2 linked regions of the Danio rerio genome follow. The protein of the gene in region 2 interacts with the protein of the main gene of each other region in a biochemical or structural test. Links are inferred from orthologs where the notes say so. Each region holds a gene or a part of one and is shown on either strand. Other genes may lie near its edges. The genes, in order: anapc4 and cdc27.

What was found.
Region 1: the proteins of cdc27 (region 2) and anapc4 form a complex in vitro, tested with the Homo sapiens proteins (2 studies listed by BioGRID). The link is inferred for Danio rerio from reciprocal best matches to the Homo sapiens genes CDC27 and ANAPC4.

What each region holds. Positions count from the first base shown.
Region 1 is NC_133195.1:26,090,852-26,101,215, reverse strand, and holds the start of anapc4 (anaphase-promoting complex subunit 4), read left to right. Parts: upstream 1-4,266; 5' UTR 4,267-4,423; exon of another isoform or gene 4,424-4,427; intron 4,428-4,681; 5' UTR 4,682-4,710; coding exon 4,711-4,818; intron 4,819-5,236; coding exon 5,237-5,342; intron 5,343-6,989; coding exon 6,990-7,122; intron 7,123-7,197; coding exon 7,198-7,272; intron 7,273-7,408; coding exon of another isoform or gene 7,409-7,435; intron 7,436-7,610; coding exon 7,611-7,655; intron 7,656-7,743; coding exon 7,744-7,828; intron 7,829-8,380; coding exon 8,381-8,488; intron 8,489-10,364. UniProt on the Homo sapiens protein: Component of the anaphase promoting complex/cyclosome (APC/C), a cell cycle-regulated E3 ubiquitin ligase that controls progression through mitosis and the G1 phase of the cell cycle.
Region 2 is NC_133178.1:20,782,585-20,792,282, reverse strand, and holds the end of cdc27 (cell division cycle protein 27 homolog), read right to left. Parts: coding exon 9,606-9,698; intron 9,529-9,605; coding exon 9,429-9,528; intron 9,183-9,428; coding exon 8,978-9,182; intron 6,483-8,977; coding exon 6,310-6,482; intron 6,189-6,309; coding exon 6,036-6,188; intron 5,940-6,035; coding exon 5,731-5,939; intron 5,582-5,730; coding exon 5,464-5,581; intron 5,336-5,463; coding exon 5,207-5,335; intron 2,326-5,206; coding exon 2,251-2,325; intron 2,148-2,250; coding exon 1,982-2,147; intron 1,908-1,981; coding exon 1,822-1,907; 3' UTR 692-1,821; downstream 1-691. UniProt on the Homo sapiens protein: Component of the anaphase promoting complex/cyclosome (APC/C), a cell cycle-regulated E3 ubiquitin ligase that controls progression through mitosis and the G1 phase of the cell cycle.

The sequences.
Region 1 (10,364 bases), on a different chromosome or scaffold from region 2:
CTCAAGGGCTGCATTTCACAGCAGCAACCACCTCCCCTCCAAGAGTCCTTTTTTTACATATAAGCACGCACACACGCGCTGCTTCTATATTATTCATGTGGAAATTTTGCCATCTTTAGTGTGGATCAATGAATTATAGATAGCGGAATATTAATGTGACAAGCCAAACAATTGTCAAAGCCGAGACTGTCATGCTTAATTTTCCATTTCTGAGGCAAGGTGAATGTACTTCATCTGAGTTGTTAGTAAATGCACTAATGCTGGATGAAATTTAATGAAATGGCAAATTGAGTATTTAAATAAATAATGCAGATTATCATCAGCTCTCATTTGAGATCTGTTCTGAGCCTAAGAAGTATTTTAACATAAATACAATTTTTAGAAATAGAACCAAATGACTTATATGGGATTTTCTAATTCAATTACTAATTTTAATTACAGTATATCAATACAAAGTAAACTAGAAGTTTACCTTAAGTCAATTTCTGCAAATGTTGATCCCAGTCGGAAGGTTCCAGTTTTCCTGATGTTTTCTATCCCAGAAAATTAGAGAAGATGCTCCTAACATCAAGGAGCTTTGGGTCTTTTCTCCGTCCTGTTTTTCTTTTGTCTTGTTTTGCCGAGTGGTCTGAGGTGAGCCGGTTAGAGTGGCTGCAGAGTGGCCTGCTGTCCCATCTGTCTCGGGCCCTGACCGCTTACTGAGCACCGCTAAATTTGTCCCCTAGCTCAGGTTACACATCGAGAGAGAGAGAGAGAAAGAGAGAGAGAGGGAGAGAGATGGGGTGTGTAGCATCCATGTTCAGCCCACACCACATCAAAGACACACATACATCATTTTCATATCCACAATGGCATGTAAATGTATTTTGCAGACATACACTTTATTGTTTGGTTCAAAACAACCACCAAATCACTGTCTGACAACTGTGCAAACGTATGGCAGCAAGTTGGAGCAAAGATAACATACCAAATATAACAGCAAATTTCATTTAATTAAAGGGATAGTTCACCATTTACACATGCTCAAGGAGTTCTAATGAATTTTATTTTTGTCTGTTGAACACAAAACAAGTTATTCTGAAGAATGTTGGAAACCAGCAGCTTTTGGCATCCACAGTAGAAACAAAAAATACTCAGGAAGTCAATGGCTGCTGCTTTCCAACATTCTTCAATATATCTTCTTTTGGGTTCAACAACCAGCTAATCAAGGTATACTATAAACTTCCTGGCAGGTGTGTTGAAGCAAGTTGGAGATAAGTTTGAACAACCATGTTATTAAAGGCAAATAAATATTTCCTCATCATTTGCTCACCCACCCAGGTTCCAAATCTTAAAATAAAAAAATGTTGAAAACTAGCCATTGAAATCCATAGTAAGTTTGTGTTCAACAGCAGAAAGAAGAAAAACAAAAGTTTTTGGTGAACTGTCTCTTTAAGCATACACTGTTTATGTAGTAACATCTGTCCAAGAAACGTACTAGTCTGCTTGATCACTTAAATTTTACCTTTTTTATGCATTTTTTATGCCATTTTATTTTAAATATTCTGATTTAAATAATCATTTATAGACTTAGACACGATACTTTTAGAACCAACATGTATTAGTCATCAAAGACCTTAATTTAACCTCATATCAATAGCTCAGCCACATTAAAACACCCTGCCATTAAAAGAGTACTTTATATAGGAATGAGGACACAACAAACTGTAATGCCCTGCTACAAGGTAAGCTTAGAAGCTATGTGCATTGCTAGACTATTACCATCACTTACTCTCTATATTTGATAATATAGCAAGATTAGTTATTAGCTATGGATGTGTGTCACTCTCTGGCTGACTATCATGGAAATTTATGTTGTACACGTTGACTGGAAATATCTGCTGATTTTTGCATTGAGTCAAAAAGCATGTCAAAATCAGGCTTCTCAGAAATGCGAGAGAGTAAACACATAGATACTCAGTATGACCAGTTCATATGTCATCAATAGCAGCTCACTTCTTTGATTAACTACATCAGAAGTGAATCATATTGCAATTCACCGAATGATATCCCAGACCACCTTTGGGTGAACTCTGATTTGGGTTCAGGAAACAGCGTGCGCATTATCAAACAATCCAAAGTCAGATGTTAAACAAGCTGGTGTTAAAGAGTGCTAGTGTAAAAGTCCTGACCAAAAATGGAAATACCTTTGGTCCTGGTTGGCTGTTTCCACTGTACAGGCTGAGTCTAAAGCTGCAAAACAAATACAAACAGCTTATATGATGTATATTTTTTTCGACAGGACTAACTGAACATCCGAAATGATGCTAGGTTAAATGTGCTTGTTGTATGTGCAAACAGGTAATGATATTTTATAGCTTACATTGCAACTTTAGCAAGAAGAGAACAGGTATGTTCGCATTCTGTTGTGACATCATGTCCTGTTTTGGGTTTGTACAGGTTTGTGGTCCATTCTATGATTAAAGTTCAATCAAAGTCCACCAAAGTTTGTTTGGTGCTCAGGATTCAGATGGCAAAACCAAACCTGCCAAGTGTGAATAGTGTTAATGAAACATAAGCTCCATTTCAAAACAGCAACCAGGACATTAATTGTGATTTTTCTAAGTGTTTCATGAAAGAAATTTATACAGGTTTGGAAATGAATTAGATACACAATTTTTGTCTGTGTGTGTGAAGTTTTAGTCTTTAACTTTGGTTTAAGAGAGGTGTTTAAGACGAAGCACAGATGCTGACCGTGAGTGGCGCAGTAGCTGTCTATTTCAGGATACTTATCACATTCACTTCATAACACTGACAGCAAAGAGCTATTCTTGTTTCTTAACAATCATGCACTGATTACGGCTGAGTCTCAATGACAGAAAGGAGATCTGTCACTCGAAGGTCTGTCATAGTGTAAGCGTCCAGACCACTGGCTCATTCAGAGAATTATTCCAGTGTCTCAGTGAGCAGAATGAGGGATTTTATTTGTATTTGATACAGTCTCATTATTCTGAAATGCAGTAGGACTGTTTGGCACTGAAAATTATCCTAATGAAATTAATAAAAAATGATTTCATGAAAACATGATACTATAATGTTGGGCATAGTTAGAACAAAACAAAACAAAATATTCTGCCCACATACAATAACATAAAACCTTGTTTTTTTGTTTCTTTGGTTAAATAAAGTACGTAAAACCAATCAAAACCACAAAAAAGCGGCAACATTTACCTAAATTCCTTACTGTATTTTGATTAAAGAAGCAACATAATGTTGTGCATATTCATGTAAAATATCTAGTATAATAACTTCTTTTTTTATTAAAAAGTATAGTATTGAGCACAATAAGCAGACTATTTTGCAAGTATGTTTGGTTTATTTTATACTACTGTTAATGCGTAGCTTTATAAGTATTTTGTGTATATACAATCTGCATTGACAACAAAAATTACAGACGTTTGTACATTCAAAAACTCAAGTTATAAGCAAAATCATCAGAATAATAACACCTTAAAAATATTAAATTATAATAAAGGAACGGTTCTAAATCCAAACACAAAACACCTTTCCCCTCCATTTTCAATCTTGTGTAAGACTTTTCACATATTCTCTCAATCAGGATTAATCCCATTTCAGTAATGATGTGTCAATACAACACAACGCAAATTGGGTTAACCTTATCAATTTGCACCTGTGTCATTTTGCCTAATAACCTTATTCTTCAAGGGTTCATGGAGCCTACTAGTTTACCCAGAAAACAACCAAACTGCATTAGTTAATACTTTATATAATGTGTTTGTTTAACATAAAAAGTAAAAAATAATATAATAAGTTTGCTGCTAGTCATTCCCAGACAGTCTTTTTGTCAATTACATTTTAGATTCAAATTATCATAATTAATTTTAATTCTGAATATTTATCATGGTCTGCAAATAATTCTAGGGCATAAGATTAACCGTGTCATTGTGTGTGTGTTTGTTAAACAACATTGTTACAGAAACGTATTTTAAGTGGGTTATTTTCTAAATATCAAATGAACAAACGTGCCTGACAAAAAACAAATCTTTCAAACATGCTCTTAACTTTGCATTCTTACCAATAATATTTTCTTGAAAATCCCGGTAATTCTAAAAACCTTCTCCGAAACATAACAATAATATTGCGATTAACCGGGTGGTTGAGGGATTTTGTCATATTTACCTTTTTTCTGGTATAAAAGTCATTTCGCGTTTTTAAAATGCACTTGTCATCTTGCGCTTTCCGTAGTCACAATTTCATTGGCGGGTCAGAGTCATGTTGTACTGCTACACACTATGATGAGTTTTCTGAATATCAATCTTTTTACAGTACAAATGAGAATATTATGATGCATTAAATCGCTTTCTCCAAACGTTTCAAACGAAGAATTGGATTGTGGAGTTTATTTTCATCCGTCATTTGTTTAGTAAGTAAGTGTAGTCTTAATATTAGGCTAATGTTGCGAAGCATCACATGTTTAACGTTAGCAGCCACTTAAGTTAAAATTTTGTTTATTTATTTAGTCTTTTGATGCCTGAAGGATTTCAGTTTACTACTTTGTAATCTGCGTTTAATATAACTACTGTCAAAGACGTCCAGCAGCAGCCGCAGATGACAGCAGTAACTTAGTCATGAGTGAACGGTATTGATACTGTCTGTACTATGGTAACTAACTTATTATTAGACTATTTGTCCATTCAACAGGATTCAGCAATGCCTGCGTTTCGGCAGGTTGGGGAGAAACAGCTCCCAAACCCTATTCTGTACATGGCCTGGTGTCCTAAAAGAGATCTGATCGCTTTGGCCAACACTACAGGAGAGGTTGGTCTTGCATAACTGTTACACACAAAGTTGGCTTTATATTCACACATTCTGACTTGCTTCTTATTATATAATTTCAGTAAAGTATTCTTTGCAAATTCGAAATGACATTATCAAATTGGCATATGCTAAAATCATAATCATATTAACAGCCAATGACCGTTGAAGTACAACATTGTTCAGACTCAAATAATTTGTGCTAATGTGGTTTTGAAGTTATGCAGATGTGTGATTTCAGACCGAAAGTTGAAATTGGCATGGTAAACAGTATAGGGGCTGTTAAAATCAACGAATTTGCGAATATATAAAGCAACTTTACCTCAAACATACACACTCATATCTGTCTTCAGTTAGAGCTGATTGTTATTGTCTGTAGGTCATTGTCATTTGACTTCATTGGACTGTTCTGTCATTACAGCTTCTTCTGCATCGGCTTGCCAACTTTCATCGGGTGTGGAGTTTACCTCCTAATGAGAACACAGGAAAAGAGATCACATCACTGGCCTGGAGACCCGATGGGAAAGGTAAACAAATACAGAATTTCAGTGGCTTATTACAGTGGACACATCAGGGTTATGATAGTTAGTGTAACTCATAAAAGTAAAACAAACCTTACTTGTAATAAATGTTGACGGAAAGTCGTTTAACCCTGTTTTCCAATTATAAAAAGAACACAATCAAACATAGGGAAGGAATAAATTTTAGAAGCTGTAATAGTTGTATAATTGTATTAAAATAACAATGTAAAAAAAACATTTACTTTTGGATTACTTTAATGTTTTGTCTTCATTTTGAACACACTAGTTTGTAGCACACAATGTTCAGGTCCTAGGTTTCACACAAATTTGACACTGTTTATATTGCTAATTTTTCTTACATTTTACAAATATTTTAGCAGTGTTATTAGATTTTTTTTGTTATTTGTGCTATTGTTTATTGTTACTAATAAATGCACTTGTCAAAAATTAGTCAAAACATTCTGATGCTGAATCAGTTACAGATATGACAAATAAAAAACAACTTTAAAAAATATTGAACTGCGGTATTTTAGAGAGAGTTGCATCTCTGTTGCATCTCGCCGGGTTATTGCTTTTTCCTACTCTATTAGCAAGACAAGCCATTTTTGTCCGATGGAAACAGGTACTACCTCAATCACATGACATGACTGAGAAATCTTTAGCTGCATAAAACAAATGCTTAAGAAGTTAAGATGTCTCAAATCTTTTTACAAGACCTGGAACCCTGTTTTAGACTACATCAAATGGCTTTCCCGGTTTATATCAGCTCTAATACACAGTAAATAACCAGAAAGAGGAAATACTGACTCCTTCATGCAAACTTTTCTTCTTCTTTTTTACTCTTTTATTGTAAACTTGCTCAATTATTATAATTTTATTTTATTACATTTTATTTATATATATTTTTTAATTTATGTATTTTTTCACAAAGACTATAGGATACACAAAACTTATTACTTGTTCATTTTTAAATGTGGAAAAGTGTAAAGGTTCATTGAGCTGAATGCATTAAATAGTCAGTATAAAAAAAGGTTGAAGATAAACTTGTGCTAACAATCTAGCCTTTATAACCAAATTATTTAACAAAAGATGATTACTGCAGTAAAATATTTGTAGTTTTTTAATAAGCATGATATATACAAGATAGAGAGGGTATGAAAAGTTAATTTGTCCAGTAATAAACACCAAACACACGTGGTTGTGGTTGAGGAATTTTTCCTCTGTTGTATTGTTAAACACCAATAAAATATATTGAACTGCTTTTGTAACAGAAAAAAAGATCTACATTCTGACTTATTTAAGCTACCATTGTCATTTTAATTGAAGTAAAGTTGGTTTTATTTTCGCAAATTTGTACTTTCACCTTAATAATATAATTTTCGAAAGGTTTTCTTTGCAAATTCTAAAAAGGCAAATTATATTAGCAGCCAGTGACTATCAAAGTAAAACGTTGTTCACAGTCAAATAAATAGTGCTAATGTTGTTTTGAATTTCATTTGAATTTGTTTATTTCAGACTACATATTCAAAGCAGCATGCTAAATGATATAGGGACAATGTCACAAGTTGACACTGTAATGAATTTATGAGTGTAAAACCAACTCTACCTCAATGTCATGTTACGTGATTATCCACATTGGATCGTTGTGTGCAGTTCTAGCGTTCAGTGTGGGCGACACAAAGCAGGTGGTCCTGTGTGATGCAGAAAAGGCTGAAATCCTCCATCTGTTCCCTGTGGAATATCCAGCATCCTGCATGCACTGGATGGAGGTGCAAGATGACAGCAGGTGTGATTTTTGACATGGTATTGTTTTCTTTCTGCATTGATTCCATAGGTTGATTGGTTTTATATTTTCCTCTAGCACATTGACCTCATTCAGCGAGTCTGAGGATGAGTCAAGCCGTTTTCTTCCAAAGTTACCCACTTTACCTAAAAGGTGAGACTCTGAGCACAAGATTTGTCCACTAGAGAGCTGATTGAGAAATGCTTGGGTCACTCATTTGTTTTTGTTTTTTATGTTTAAATGTTTTTTATGGCTTTTCCATTTTCCTTTGTGCCATGTTTCTGTTCAGCTACAGCACCACATCAAAGATATTTAGGTAAGAAGACACTTAATGTGCTTAAATGCTGATTATTTGCTATTTCTTTAGCTTACTCTTTTTTTATTCACTTTTATTTTGAAATGGTCATCTGCATGTGGCTTGTGCATATATGACTGTGTGTGTGCGTGCGTACGCTCTGGTTTTTTCTTATGTGACGTTTTCTCCCTCACAGTGAAGAAAAATCAGAAGAAGTGACAAACCTTTTAGGGGAAGTGAGGTCAGTTTTGCATGTATTTGAGCTGAATGATTGTAGGCTTTGGACTCTGCTTATGTTGCATTGTGATCGTTGATGCTTTGTTTTGCAGACTCAATATCCTGGTTGTTGGAGGACCATCTGGATTTGTTGAGCTGTATGCTTACGGCCTGTATAAGATTGCAACATTAAGTGGGGTAAGTTATAAATAAAAACTTGAACATGTTTTTTTCTTTGCAAATGCTTATGTTTAAGTTTATTATTAGTGTTAAAAATAATAAATAAGTGGTAAAAGATAGGTTATTTTTAAAAATGATTGAAAAACAATTCCAGAAATGCTAACTTAAATGTTTTAATAATTGTGAGTCTATAGCTTGCATTTCTGAAAGAACAGAAGTCAGAGTGCTGATGGGAAAAAAGCCAGAATTTTAACATCTTTATTTTGCAAGTTTAATTTGTTTTTAATTTAACTTGTAATTCAGTTTTTTTTTTCAGAATTATAAGGTAAAAGCTTTTTTTTTTTTAATTGCATGAAAAGAAATACAGAACTTGAATATTTGTAAATAAATTGAAAAGAACCAAATACATGGATTTCTTTAATCCAGTAGTGAAAACATGTTTCTGTAGGGTATAGAGTTTATAACTAGCTGTACAAGCAATCAATATTTTTAAATCTAGATAGTTATGTAAACAAGTTGTTTATGTAGAATAATGACATCATTTATTATTTATGTTTATTTTTTTCTCAGATCTTAGGGACGTGCCGTAGTCTTGGACTGTCTAGTGACCTCAAGTCTCTCTCTGTTATTACAGAGATTAGATCCACAGACGACAACCCTGAGATTCGTTACATACAGGTGAAAGCTTTTAATGTGTGTGTGTGTGTGTGTGTGTGTGTGTGTGTGTGTGTGTGTGTGTGTGTGTGTGTGTGTGTGTGTGTGTGTGTGTGTGTGTGTGTAGTTGAAGTCAGAATTATTAGCCCCCCTCTCAATTTATTTTTTTATTAGAGCAAGGAAATTTTCACAGTATGTCTGATAATATTTTTTTCTTCTGGTGAAAGTCTTATTTGTTTTATCTCGGCTAGAAACAAGCACTTTAAATTTAAAAAAAAAAATCATTTTAGGGTCAAAATTACTATACCCCTTTAAGCTATTTTTTTTTCAATAGTCTACAAAACAAACCATCATTATACAATAACTTGCCTAATGTGCCTAGTTAACCTAATTAATCTAGTTAAGCCTTTAAATGTCACTTTAAGCTGTACAGAATATATATATATAAGTGGAGGGCCGTTATCGGCATAACCGTGCTTCGTTAACGCAAGACTCTTATAGGGCGATCAAAAAAATATCACCGTTAATCTATTCTCAAAGTTGGGTTGGGAGCTGGGTCTGTTCTACGCAAGCTATGATGACATTCATCAAACATGACGTGCTAACATGAATGCAGTTCACTAGAGTGAATCTGATTAATGTTAGCTCCACATCTAGCTATCAGGCACCGGTAGAGTTTATGCGTTCGAGTAAAACATACAAATAAAATAGAGCGGTTGCTTTTCAACATGAATGACGCTGAATGTAAGTCAAACCGGTGAGCCGTCTGACAATAAAAAGTCCCCTTCTGGATCAAATCATTAGGATGCCCTTCTAAATCTTTCACTTACTACGCTTGCATTTATCTTAATAGACAATGATATAATTAAGGTGTTTACGTGAAGTGCTTTCATGTAAGAGTTTCCTGTAATTTTGGGTGACTTTAACTGCAATTTGGCAGTTTCACATTCACTCATGAACATTTCCCTGTGCATACTCCACGTCTTAATTTAATTTCTGTTTAGTTCTATTATGACTTTAGTCGGATTAAGGTAATCAAAATTCTGAATGCCTTCAGCAGAATTTAAATGAGCCATTTTAATCTAGATTAATTCCAAGATTGCAGTGATCAACTAGATTAATCTAGATATAAAAAATTAAGATTAATCTAGATATAAAAAAAAAAACATCTATGTCCATGTCCACCTACAGTTGATGTCAGAATTATTAGCCCCCATGTTTATTTTTTCCCCTACATTCTGTTTAACGTAGAGAAGATTTTTTTTAACACATTTTTAAACATAATAGTTTTAATATCTCATCTCTAATGACTGATTTTTTTTTTCTTTGCCATGATGACACTAAATAATATTTTACTAGATATTTTTCGAGACAATTCTATACAGCTTAAAGTGCCATGTAAAGGCTTAACTAGGTTAATTAGGTTAAATAGACAGGTTAGGGTAATTAGGCAAGTTATTGTATAATGATGATTTGTTCTATAGACTATCTAAAAATATGTATAGATTAAAGGGGCTAATAATAATTTTGACCTTAATGTTTTTTAGTTTTTTTAACTTTCTTTATTCTAGCCGAAATAAAACAAATAAGACTTTCTCCTGAAGAAAAAATATTATCAGACGTACTGTGAAAATTTCCTTGCTCTGTTAAACATCATTTGGGAAATATTAAAAAAGAAAAAAAATTCAAAGGGGGGCTAATAATTCTGTCTTCAACTGTATATCAAAAGAGGACGTCTCATCACTGACCCATATACAAAATATATAATATTTATATAGCCCTTACAAGTATTATATATTTATTTTTACAAATAAAATGAATAGATTAATAAATACCATATTGACCGTTATTACCTGCTCTATATATTGATAATTTGACAAATTCACATGTATTAAAACAG
Region 2 (9,698 bases):
GTTTTCCTCTAGACTTTAATCAACATTTTACGCTGAAAGCGATATTTTGCCCATACTAAAAAAGCGAAAAGAAGTACATTTCAAATGACAGAGTACAGAATTCACGTTCACTTACCTGCACAGATCAACCAGACTTGAGCCGGAAATACTGCCTCATTTCAACCGCTGATTGGTCCATAGGAGGAAAGGCAGCAGCTGATTGGCTGCTTCGTGTGTTTTTTAGCAAGAGATCGGCTTACGGGTGAAAGTAAAAAACTGTAACTTTGCAACAAGAGTTGATTTTTGTTTATGTGTTCTAAGCCATCGTGTGCTAAATGTGCACGTAGCCAACATACAGTCACGTCTGAACATACAAAACATATTATAGTTTAATATCAGTTTCTTTGTTTTCTGTTGTCATTCTCGCAAGCGAATTTATTAACGTCAACGCTTGTATATGGAAATAAATGAATATCATTAGACATTATCAATATAGTAGTAACATCTAGAATCAATTTATCAATACCGAAGCCTTCGTTCATCGCGCACAGAAGGAAGACCACTTTATAGTCGTCGTTTTCATAGCATCAGCAACTGGGGCAGACATGGCAATAGCGTGTAAACAATGATGATTTTAACAATCAATGCACTTCTAAAGCGTTATTAATTGGCGCACAGAGGTTTCTGTTACCTCAATGATCACATCAGGGCCTTCAGTCAAAGTTGTTTATTCTATTACCTTAATTGTACATAATTTCTTAAAATGTACAATAAGAAGCATTTAGCAGAGATCAAAAACATTTCATAATAATAAACATGTTCTGGTAAAATAAAAACCATGAAGATACTTTGTGCACATTTACTATGTTCATCAGTATTGTCCTCAACAGCACCAACATTTCAGTATATTGTCTCATGAAGTCTGACCACTGGTCACTGTGCCATACAATAGGGTAATTCATTTGGACACTCTAGAGTGGTTTCACAGTAAAGATAACAATTTAAACAAAATTCTCTGATCGATGTCTTGCAGCTGGGCAAAATAATAATCAAATATGATTCAGGTGTTTGAAAGTTGACATCACTTAGAGCGAAACATGAGTGTGAGGCAAATTGTTCAGTTTAACACTAACAGTATTTGACAATTGCTCAAACAAAATCCAGATCAATCCATATCATTCAGAACTAGCTGTTTCTACAGTTAACTTTGTTTTTTTTTCCCATCTAACAGATGGCAATCTGAAAGATTAGCAGATGAATCTCATGCCAAACTTTTGATGTGGGCAGAAAGTGCTTTTTTCTTCTCTCCCGGCACTTTCAAGATGTGACAGGGAGGGGAGAGGAATTAAAGGACTACCAACTCTTGCACAAGTCTTTATTCAGGGTAAATGTCGATAAAATAACATGAAATGCCTAAGCATTAAGACAGGTACATCCATGAAAGTCTGTGGAGCTGTGTGAAGTTAAGTAAGTCAATTAGCCTGTTGAGAAGACGGTGGAGTCATGGGCAAATCTGGGCAATTTGAGCTCAGGCAGAACTTGAATTGTTCAAGCGACTGTGTCTGTGATAAAAGGACACCTGCCAGTTGTGATAGGAGATGAGACAGGACCAGAAGATCAGACCGATGAGAGACCTCTAAGGCATGACGACAAGAGGTGGGGGAGGGTGGGAAAAAAGGCAAGAACGAATGAAGAAAATGAAATGACAAAAATGAGGAGGTACTGTTATTAGCAGCAGTTTGTTTTCCTTTTTTCTTCTTCCTCCTGTTTTTTTTTTGAGCTGGAGTCTTCGAATAGCCCCCAAATTGGCATTATTTGAAAGTCCAGAGTGGTGTCAGGGGGCTAGAGAACCTCGTCGCTCTCCGTCGTGTGGAGCTGAGTGTCGTCAGCGTCCGTCATACTGCTCTCCTGTGATTCCTCCACCTCCGCTGCAGAGACCAACAAACAGCATTACACCGAGCACACAGCCCTGCATTAATGACTCACTGAGCTGGAGACTTACTTGAGCAGTAGGGATAGTCATCAGGAGTGACAGGCTCATCATCATCTGGGAGGTATCGCTTATCTATGGCCTCTTTGATCTGATTATTGGCCCCTTTGGGGTCCAAGTCCATGGCCCAGGAAAAGTTCATTAATGCCAGATGAGTCTGGCCAAGCTTCTTATAGACCTATAGAGATGACGAACATTTGATTCAGGAGTTTCCAAACAGGGACATTAGCGGTTACAAGATGTTAAATGAAATCAAGTAAGCCGTTTTGCTGTAGGTGTACCTTTCCTATTAAGAAGTAAACAAGGGACTCTTTGGGCACTATTTGTTTCAGCTCTTCAAGCTCCTGCAGAGCCGCCTGTAAAGAATAGACTGGTCATTTAACTTTTCAAACTATTTATAGTGTTAGTCAACATGTTAAAAGAGCAAAGAGCAATTTCTGAGAAACTAGAACATTTCGACAACACCAAGCCCATTTTGTGAATAGTAGTTTGCTGTCTGTTTTGCGTGTACTGAAAAAAAATAAATACATAAAAAAGCAGCTTGTCTGTATAAAGCCATGGCTGTTTAAACAGTGCACTGGAAATGAGTGATGAGACCAAGTAGGAGCTTTAATATTGGCTACAGTAACAGGACAATTTCTTAGATGACCAAATCAAAGCAACAGTCCAAAACTAACACTCGAAACTGAGAATGCATACTTATAGTTAGACTAAATCTGCACTGTGGTTTGACTTTCACCAGCCCAATAATAGTGATTGATAAAACTGTGGGAGTGTCAAAGTTTAAGCACATGTCTGCAGTGTGGCTTCTCCTATGGTGATTGTAAAATCAATAACCAATCAAAGTGAAATTTTTTTTTCCAAAACATTTGTTTTTTTTCTCAATTTTCTTTTGAAGACAAGGGGGTCTTGAAAGTATTGGAGTTTGTGGCAACTGTTTAGCAACTGAGATCCCACAGTGTATCATGACTTAAAGCTGGTTAACTATTCATATAGACCAGTGATGCCCAAACTAGGATCTGCAAAAGTTGGCCCATGATAACCTTTGATTTGGCCCGCCATCCCAAATTAAGGGTTGGAGGAGGAATTGCCTTTAATAGAGATTGTCTTTTGTAATTTAATATAAGCTTTTGTTTGTTTTATTGTGATGCTACAAAAAAACAAGCTTGAATTAAATGTTTCAATTGAATGTTGTGAATGGGTCAGAGTATTTAAATGTGCACTGAAAGCCATGGTGTTGTAAATGGAATAGTTTCTTTTCATAGGGATACGTTAATTATAAAATATACAAAATTATAATGCAATAGTTAACCTCATATGATTATACATGATTAAGTAATTTCCATCTATAAGTATTATAAATATACATAAAAAAAAAAGAAAATTACCTATGGCAACTTTGTAATAGAGTTTGCTAGATTGACCTTCCGCCCACAGCTCTCAATGGACCCTTCGCTAAGCCCCCCCTCCTTAGTTACTGTTGCTACGCCTGTCAAGCTTTCGTGCCTGGCACAGCTTTTTCAATGTGTGCGCCGGTGTCAATCATTGCCAGGGGTATAATGTTATTTTTGGCGAACAGGTGAGATATCCGAGAAAGCCAGACAATAAAGGACTGCAGTATGCATTACAGGGGTATATTCACCACATAATAGGCAACCGATTAGAGAATAAATCAATTAAAATTGAAGCTAGCTTAGCCTAGCCACCTCATACGCTGACCATTTAACAGCTTAGCTCATGCTCAGCAGGAGAGGGGAAATCTAAAAATAATCTAATAATAACAAATTAAACCGTGATTTCTCTATTTTTAGCCAAAAAGCCTGATGGATTAATTGTTGTGCAATGAAATGGAGTTACTAACCGATGAAGAAACATGCATGACAGTGCTTTTACATAGTTCATTCATAGAAAGAACAGCCAGAAAGGGAAACTGATGGATTTGTGTCGAATATTAGCATCATTGACTCATAACAATAAGTTACCTATTACTGTCAGTATGTTTGTGTGCTCTTTATAAATGACTGAAAAACAGCAGCTGCGGGTAAAGTATATTGATCTGCTGCTCAGTTTGTGATCATATCTCGGTTTTGTTCTGCTAATTTGTCATTTCTAATATTCATAGCTTGAAACAGATGGAAATATGACGTTCAGTAAAGTTAGCAACAGATTCGCAGATTTGTATTTTCCGAATCAATAACTCTTGTCATTATGACTTATTCGCTATTATGACTAAGTTACTAACGTTATGGCGAAGGCTTAAACGGAGCATTACTCACAATAGAGCAAAAAAAAAAAAGGAATAAGAAAGCTGTGAAACATAACCAGCTTTGTGTTTTTGTAGGAAACACAGTTTAGTTCTGTTTAGGGTAAGAGGTTTGTGAGTTATTGCCGTCTGTCTGTCACTGAATGTGTCAGGAATATCAAAACAAAATCAACTTAGCTCTGCTCTTTTAGTGCCCCTCACACTGCTTGATCCACGCTAGTATTTCTCCTTTTGGATTTTAGGTTTTGAAAAGGGGAAAAATTCCACCGCCCAGTCCAAACTCTAAGGATACCGGGTATCAGATTTGCACAATCCATATGCACTCGCTCGAAAACTTGACAGAGCCCCTGCGCGTAGCTACAGTTGCTAAGCCACGATTGGTGGGTGGCAGTTATTGGGCAGGGCTTAGCGAAGGGTCAATTATGTTTGGTTTTGGCCATGCATAGGAAACGTTTGAGCACCCCTGATATTGACCCTATTCTTAAATGTGATAGTGCACTCGTTTTTGCGATTGTTTAAGAACTTCTGATTCAGTCGTCTATCGGAGAAATGACTAGGAATAATAAACGGCAAATAAACGGTCCTCTATAAGCAAGTATGTTCATGACAACACGGACGAAGCAGAATAGTAAAACAAAAAAAGATCAGTTTGCAACATCAAGCAGAAGAAAGAACGGTTTTTAATGTCACAAAAATGAATGGAAGTGAATGAGACCAGCAGTCTCCAGCCAAAAAGATTCAAACGGCTGTGCTCGCTCATACACGTAGAATAAGGTGAATAGATTGACGAGCAACAATCGTAAAGAACTATTAAACTGCATATGGTTCACTCTGCAGTAGCGGTTGCCTGTTGTTTTGCATGTTTAAGTATTAAGGGGCGGTGTATTTTTGCTTTGATGTCAGATTTCAAATATAACAGAGTTTCTCAGAAATCACTCACTGCACCTAACATTATAGTACAAGTAGAGCAGTACCTTGTACTTTTCATTGGCAAACAGAATTGAGGCCCTATGGAATTTGCATAGCGGATTCTTAGGGTCGATGCTAATGGCTCTGTTAAGGGTCTCCAGTGCATGGTCTGATTTCTTCAAAGCATGTTGAACCTGACAGAGTACATGAGAAACAATATGAAGATGCAGCACAGCAAAAATCCTATCAGAAATTTTAAACAGTGATTATCATGTTATGTTTTATGCATAACCAAAAAGTACATAAAGGCTGATTTACTCACCACTCCGATATGACAGAGTAGCACAGAGCTCTGAGGATTGATGCTAAAAGCTTTCTTGAAATGAATCTCGGCTAGATTAAACTTCTCCTGCTTATAATAAATCATTCCCAAGCCATACCTGTGGTAAGAGACAGAAAGATGAAGTCTTTTTGCTTCTGAAATAGCAGATGGTACTTATCTGTCAGACAACTGGATAAGTAAAATGATTGTGAGTGAACGACTTATTTAATGGTTTTTTTTTGGTGTCATGTAAAGTAACAAACATACCAGGCATTGTAGTGACGTTTATTGAGGCGTATAGCATTGCGGAAGCAACCCAGGGCTTTCTCCAGCTCCTCTGTGAGAACCAGTTCATGCCCTAATAGTGTATAAGCGTAAGCAAAGCTGGGGTCCACCTGGATGGCCCGTGTGAAGAACTTAATGGCGATGTCATGCTCCCGCTGTAAGCTGAAACAGTTACCAACTACACACCAGGGCTGTAAAGAGGTGGAAAAACAAAAAGATAAGCAGCTGATTTACTGAACTGAATAATATTCCAACTAATAATTGCATTACTGCCTTGATAAACTTACCTCAGGTGAGTTTTTGTCCATGTCAGTGAGGTCTTTAGATAGGGCAGAAAGTGCCACATCCTTTTGTAAATGCCAAAGTGTTGTTGAGTAGATGTCCATACCCTCTACTCGATAGCTCTCTATACGTCGGACTTCTGAAAAAATCCTCTCCGCCTAATTAAACAGACAAAAATATCTTCTGTGAGAACAAACAAAAACATTTTCCACTACTTGCCATTATAATTTGAATGCCTTTGGTAATTGATTTCACCTCATTTCTGCAACGCAGACTCACCTGCATGTATTCAGCCAGTTCAAAGTGTGCTCGCCCGATCTGACCCAGCACCCAGCCCGTGTTGTAATGGTGTGAAGGTAGCTGACTCAAGATGTTAATGGCCTCTCGGCAGTTATAAGAGCAGAGAGCAAGATATCCCCTCCCAATATCCCGCATCAGGGTCATCAGCCCGTCTAAAGAAAACCGCAAACAAAATCAGCAACCTGCTTCAGGGTGTTGCTCAAATACAAGAGAAAAGAGAAAAATTAAGTAGCCCAAAGAGAAAATTAAGTAGTAGCTCAAAATCTAACACAAAAAAGCATGAATTAATAATATAAATAATGTACTTTCAACTTTATACATAAGTCTCTACGACAATGAAATGCTTATAATGTTCAGGATAATGCAGCATGTTTAGTTTTGTACTGTAAAGTTGTTCTACAAATAAATGGGAATAATTCAAACTATAATCAAAGTAAGAAAGTATATAGTCTCAAATACTCTTCTTATCACCACAATTTTGTTTTAATTACCCTGTAACGTCATGGATCACTATGATAATATGCTTTAAAAAAAAAAAAAAAAAAAAAAAAAAAAACAGTGTTCTCACCATGTAATTTTATTTTGTTTAATTTGTTATAGAAATGAAAGCACCAAACGCAAGTAGGGATACAACGATTAACCATTTTCACTATTAACCACTTTAATTTGTCACGGTTAATTAAACATAAGTTTCTCAACATCGTGTTTCTGCAAAGAACAAAACTGGTGCAACTAAACGTTCCTGCAACTGTGCGCTTGTTTAAAGTTCAGAGCTTGTACACAATGGCTAATATGCACGTACAATGGATTAGCTATGGCTGAGGATATTAACTAAGGGCCGTTCACATGTCGCATCTTTTGTGTGCTAAAGTTCGATATTTCTTTTTTTTGCGAGCATATTGGGAGTGACGTGCACACAACGCGCTCAAGCTTTTCAGGCGCACATAGTTGAAACAGGGCTTGAAATTGGTCTCATATGGGCCCAAAATTTTATCGATGCGACTTCAAATATATATTTTGTAGCATTTGGGCGAGTGCATAAATTGTTGCCGTGCGACCAGTTTTCACTGCAAAATGTTAATCGCATGCACGTATTTAAGAAAATTCATGCAGAAGGCATCTTTGCACCAAACACAGCGCTCAAGAAAAGTTTAAAACAGTTGACATGTGAACTTGCTGCAGTAAACAAATCCCACAATGCTTGCCCCGTCTTTAAGCTCTTCTGATTGGCCTCCTGCTCTAAAACACAACACGAATGGATTGGTTAATATCAGCTGTCAATCACTCAATTCAGATGACCGGGAGCTACAGCCACGAAAGCATAAAGGTCTGGATAAGAGACAATAAAAATAACACTGAGAGATTTTGTTTTAGAAATCACCTGAACTTACAAATAATGGCACATCTGATTAGTGATCATGGAGTGAATGTTAATCCACTATTTATACTTTTTCTAAGAGTGGATACAAGACTTCCAGTGGGTTAAAGTCCGCTATGAAAATGATGAAAGCATTCACTGTAAAGCTGGTTGGACAGTTTTCAGGTAACCGTGTTTGCCACATCAACACATTTTAAGCACGAGATCTTCTAACGTTGTTTCATCCATTAAATCCTCACAATGCTGTCAGTCGTGCGACTGGTACCGCATTCACCATCGCAAAAGAGCATGCATTCACTGAGATTAAACTACTGCATCTCATCGAAAGACCGTTATTGCTATTAAGATGACGTATGCAAATTAGTTATATGTTAAAATCATGTGTGCAATGTCAGAAACCACCCATGAGAACAGCAAAGTTATTATTGTTAACTCTGTTCATCCCATTCACATCAAGCAGTGCGTGCAGAGCCAGTGGGCTCATGCATATTGTTTTTCGTTTGTTAGTTTTGATTATAGTTCATTTCAAATGCAATACATTTGTTAATACAAAACTTATTTAATATAATAGTAACGGTGCTCATAATTGTTGGTAGGTGCTCCTAAATTTTGCCTGGTGCGCCTAAATTTCTGAAGTTAGGAGCACCGCTGCTACCAATAAAAAAAGGTTAATTTCGAGCCCTGTGAAAGAATTGCGTGAGCGCACCACAAGTCACATGACAAGAACCATTTAGCTTCATATTTTGTATGGAATATAAATATTCTACTCCAGAAAAAAAATAATAATAAATTCGAAACATGTTCATAATATAGTTGATCAAAAGTGCCTTTCAGACAGGGGTTTAGCAGCCTCTGACTACATTTGTTCTTATTTACTTATTCATTGTTCTGTCATTTATTTTCAGTTTAAAATTTCACTTTCACTTCTTTTTAAGTCCAAAGAGAAATGTGTGTTTTGAAATTACTGAATGTATAATCGTGATTATTGCTTAGACTATAATCTTACAACTAAAATTTATAATCGTTGCATCCCTGAGTTTTATCACTGAGTTTAGTCTGTTTGCAAACAGTATATTTTTTTCAGTATATAATTTGTATTTTATGGTATATGATCAGTAGATTACACATTTTTAATTTTCTAAGGTTTAAGTAGTTTTCAATCAAAAGAACAGTCTCCATTGCGTGTAATTGTGAGCAGCATGAACAATACGTTGTTAGTTGCAATTCACTTAACCCCTTAAAAAAAAAAGGTGAAGAATCGTCAGATACCTGCAGCAGCCTTTTGTAGATTAAAAGCCTGGAACTGCGGTGAACTGATGTTGCCTTTGCCCTCTGATAAGGATGAATCTAACTTGAGGATCTCGATGCTCTCATTCAGATTAGATGGGGTGATTCCTCCCTTACCCGTTTTCGTTTTGGTCTTTCGGTTAGGAATCTTGGTGGGGAACTTCATTTTCAGCTTCTTACTGTTCTCCTGTTTGGTTTAAACATTGATAATGTATTCATAAGACTTTGAGTGAATGTCTTCCTATGAGATATCAACAAAGGTCCCAAGATCTGTTTGGTGACTGACATGCTTACAAATATCTTCCTTTGTGTTTAGCAGAACGAATAAATGTACACAGGATTGGAACAAACAATGATAATGATTTTGTGGTGAACTGTACCTTAAAAGGTTTTAAGAAGTGCATGTTAGAATTTGTATGCGTAAAAAGATTACCTTGGCAGTGGAGCTGGCACTGGTGAAGAGTCTTGAGCTCCGCCGTGGCTGCACATTTGGGGGAGCAGCAATGGTTTGGCTCAGCACTTGCGGTGTAGTACTAAAAACCAGAAAGAGAGATCATCAGAAGCCATCGCTACAGCCATAAACTGCCTGTATAAATGTGTGGTGATGTACCTGGTCTGTGGAGCAGTAGTCTGAGTTTGGATAAAGGGGTTTGGAATGACCTCTCTGCTGTTGCCACTTTGTGCAAACACTGACTTCGTCCCC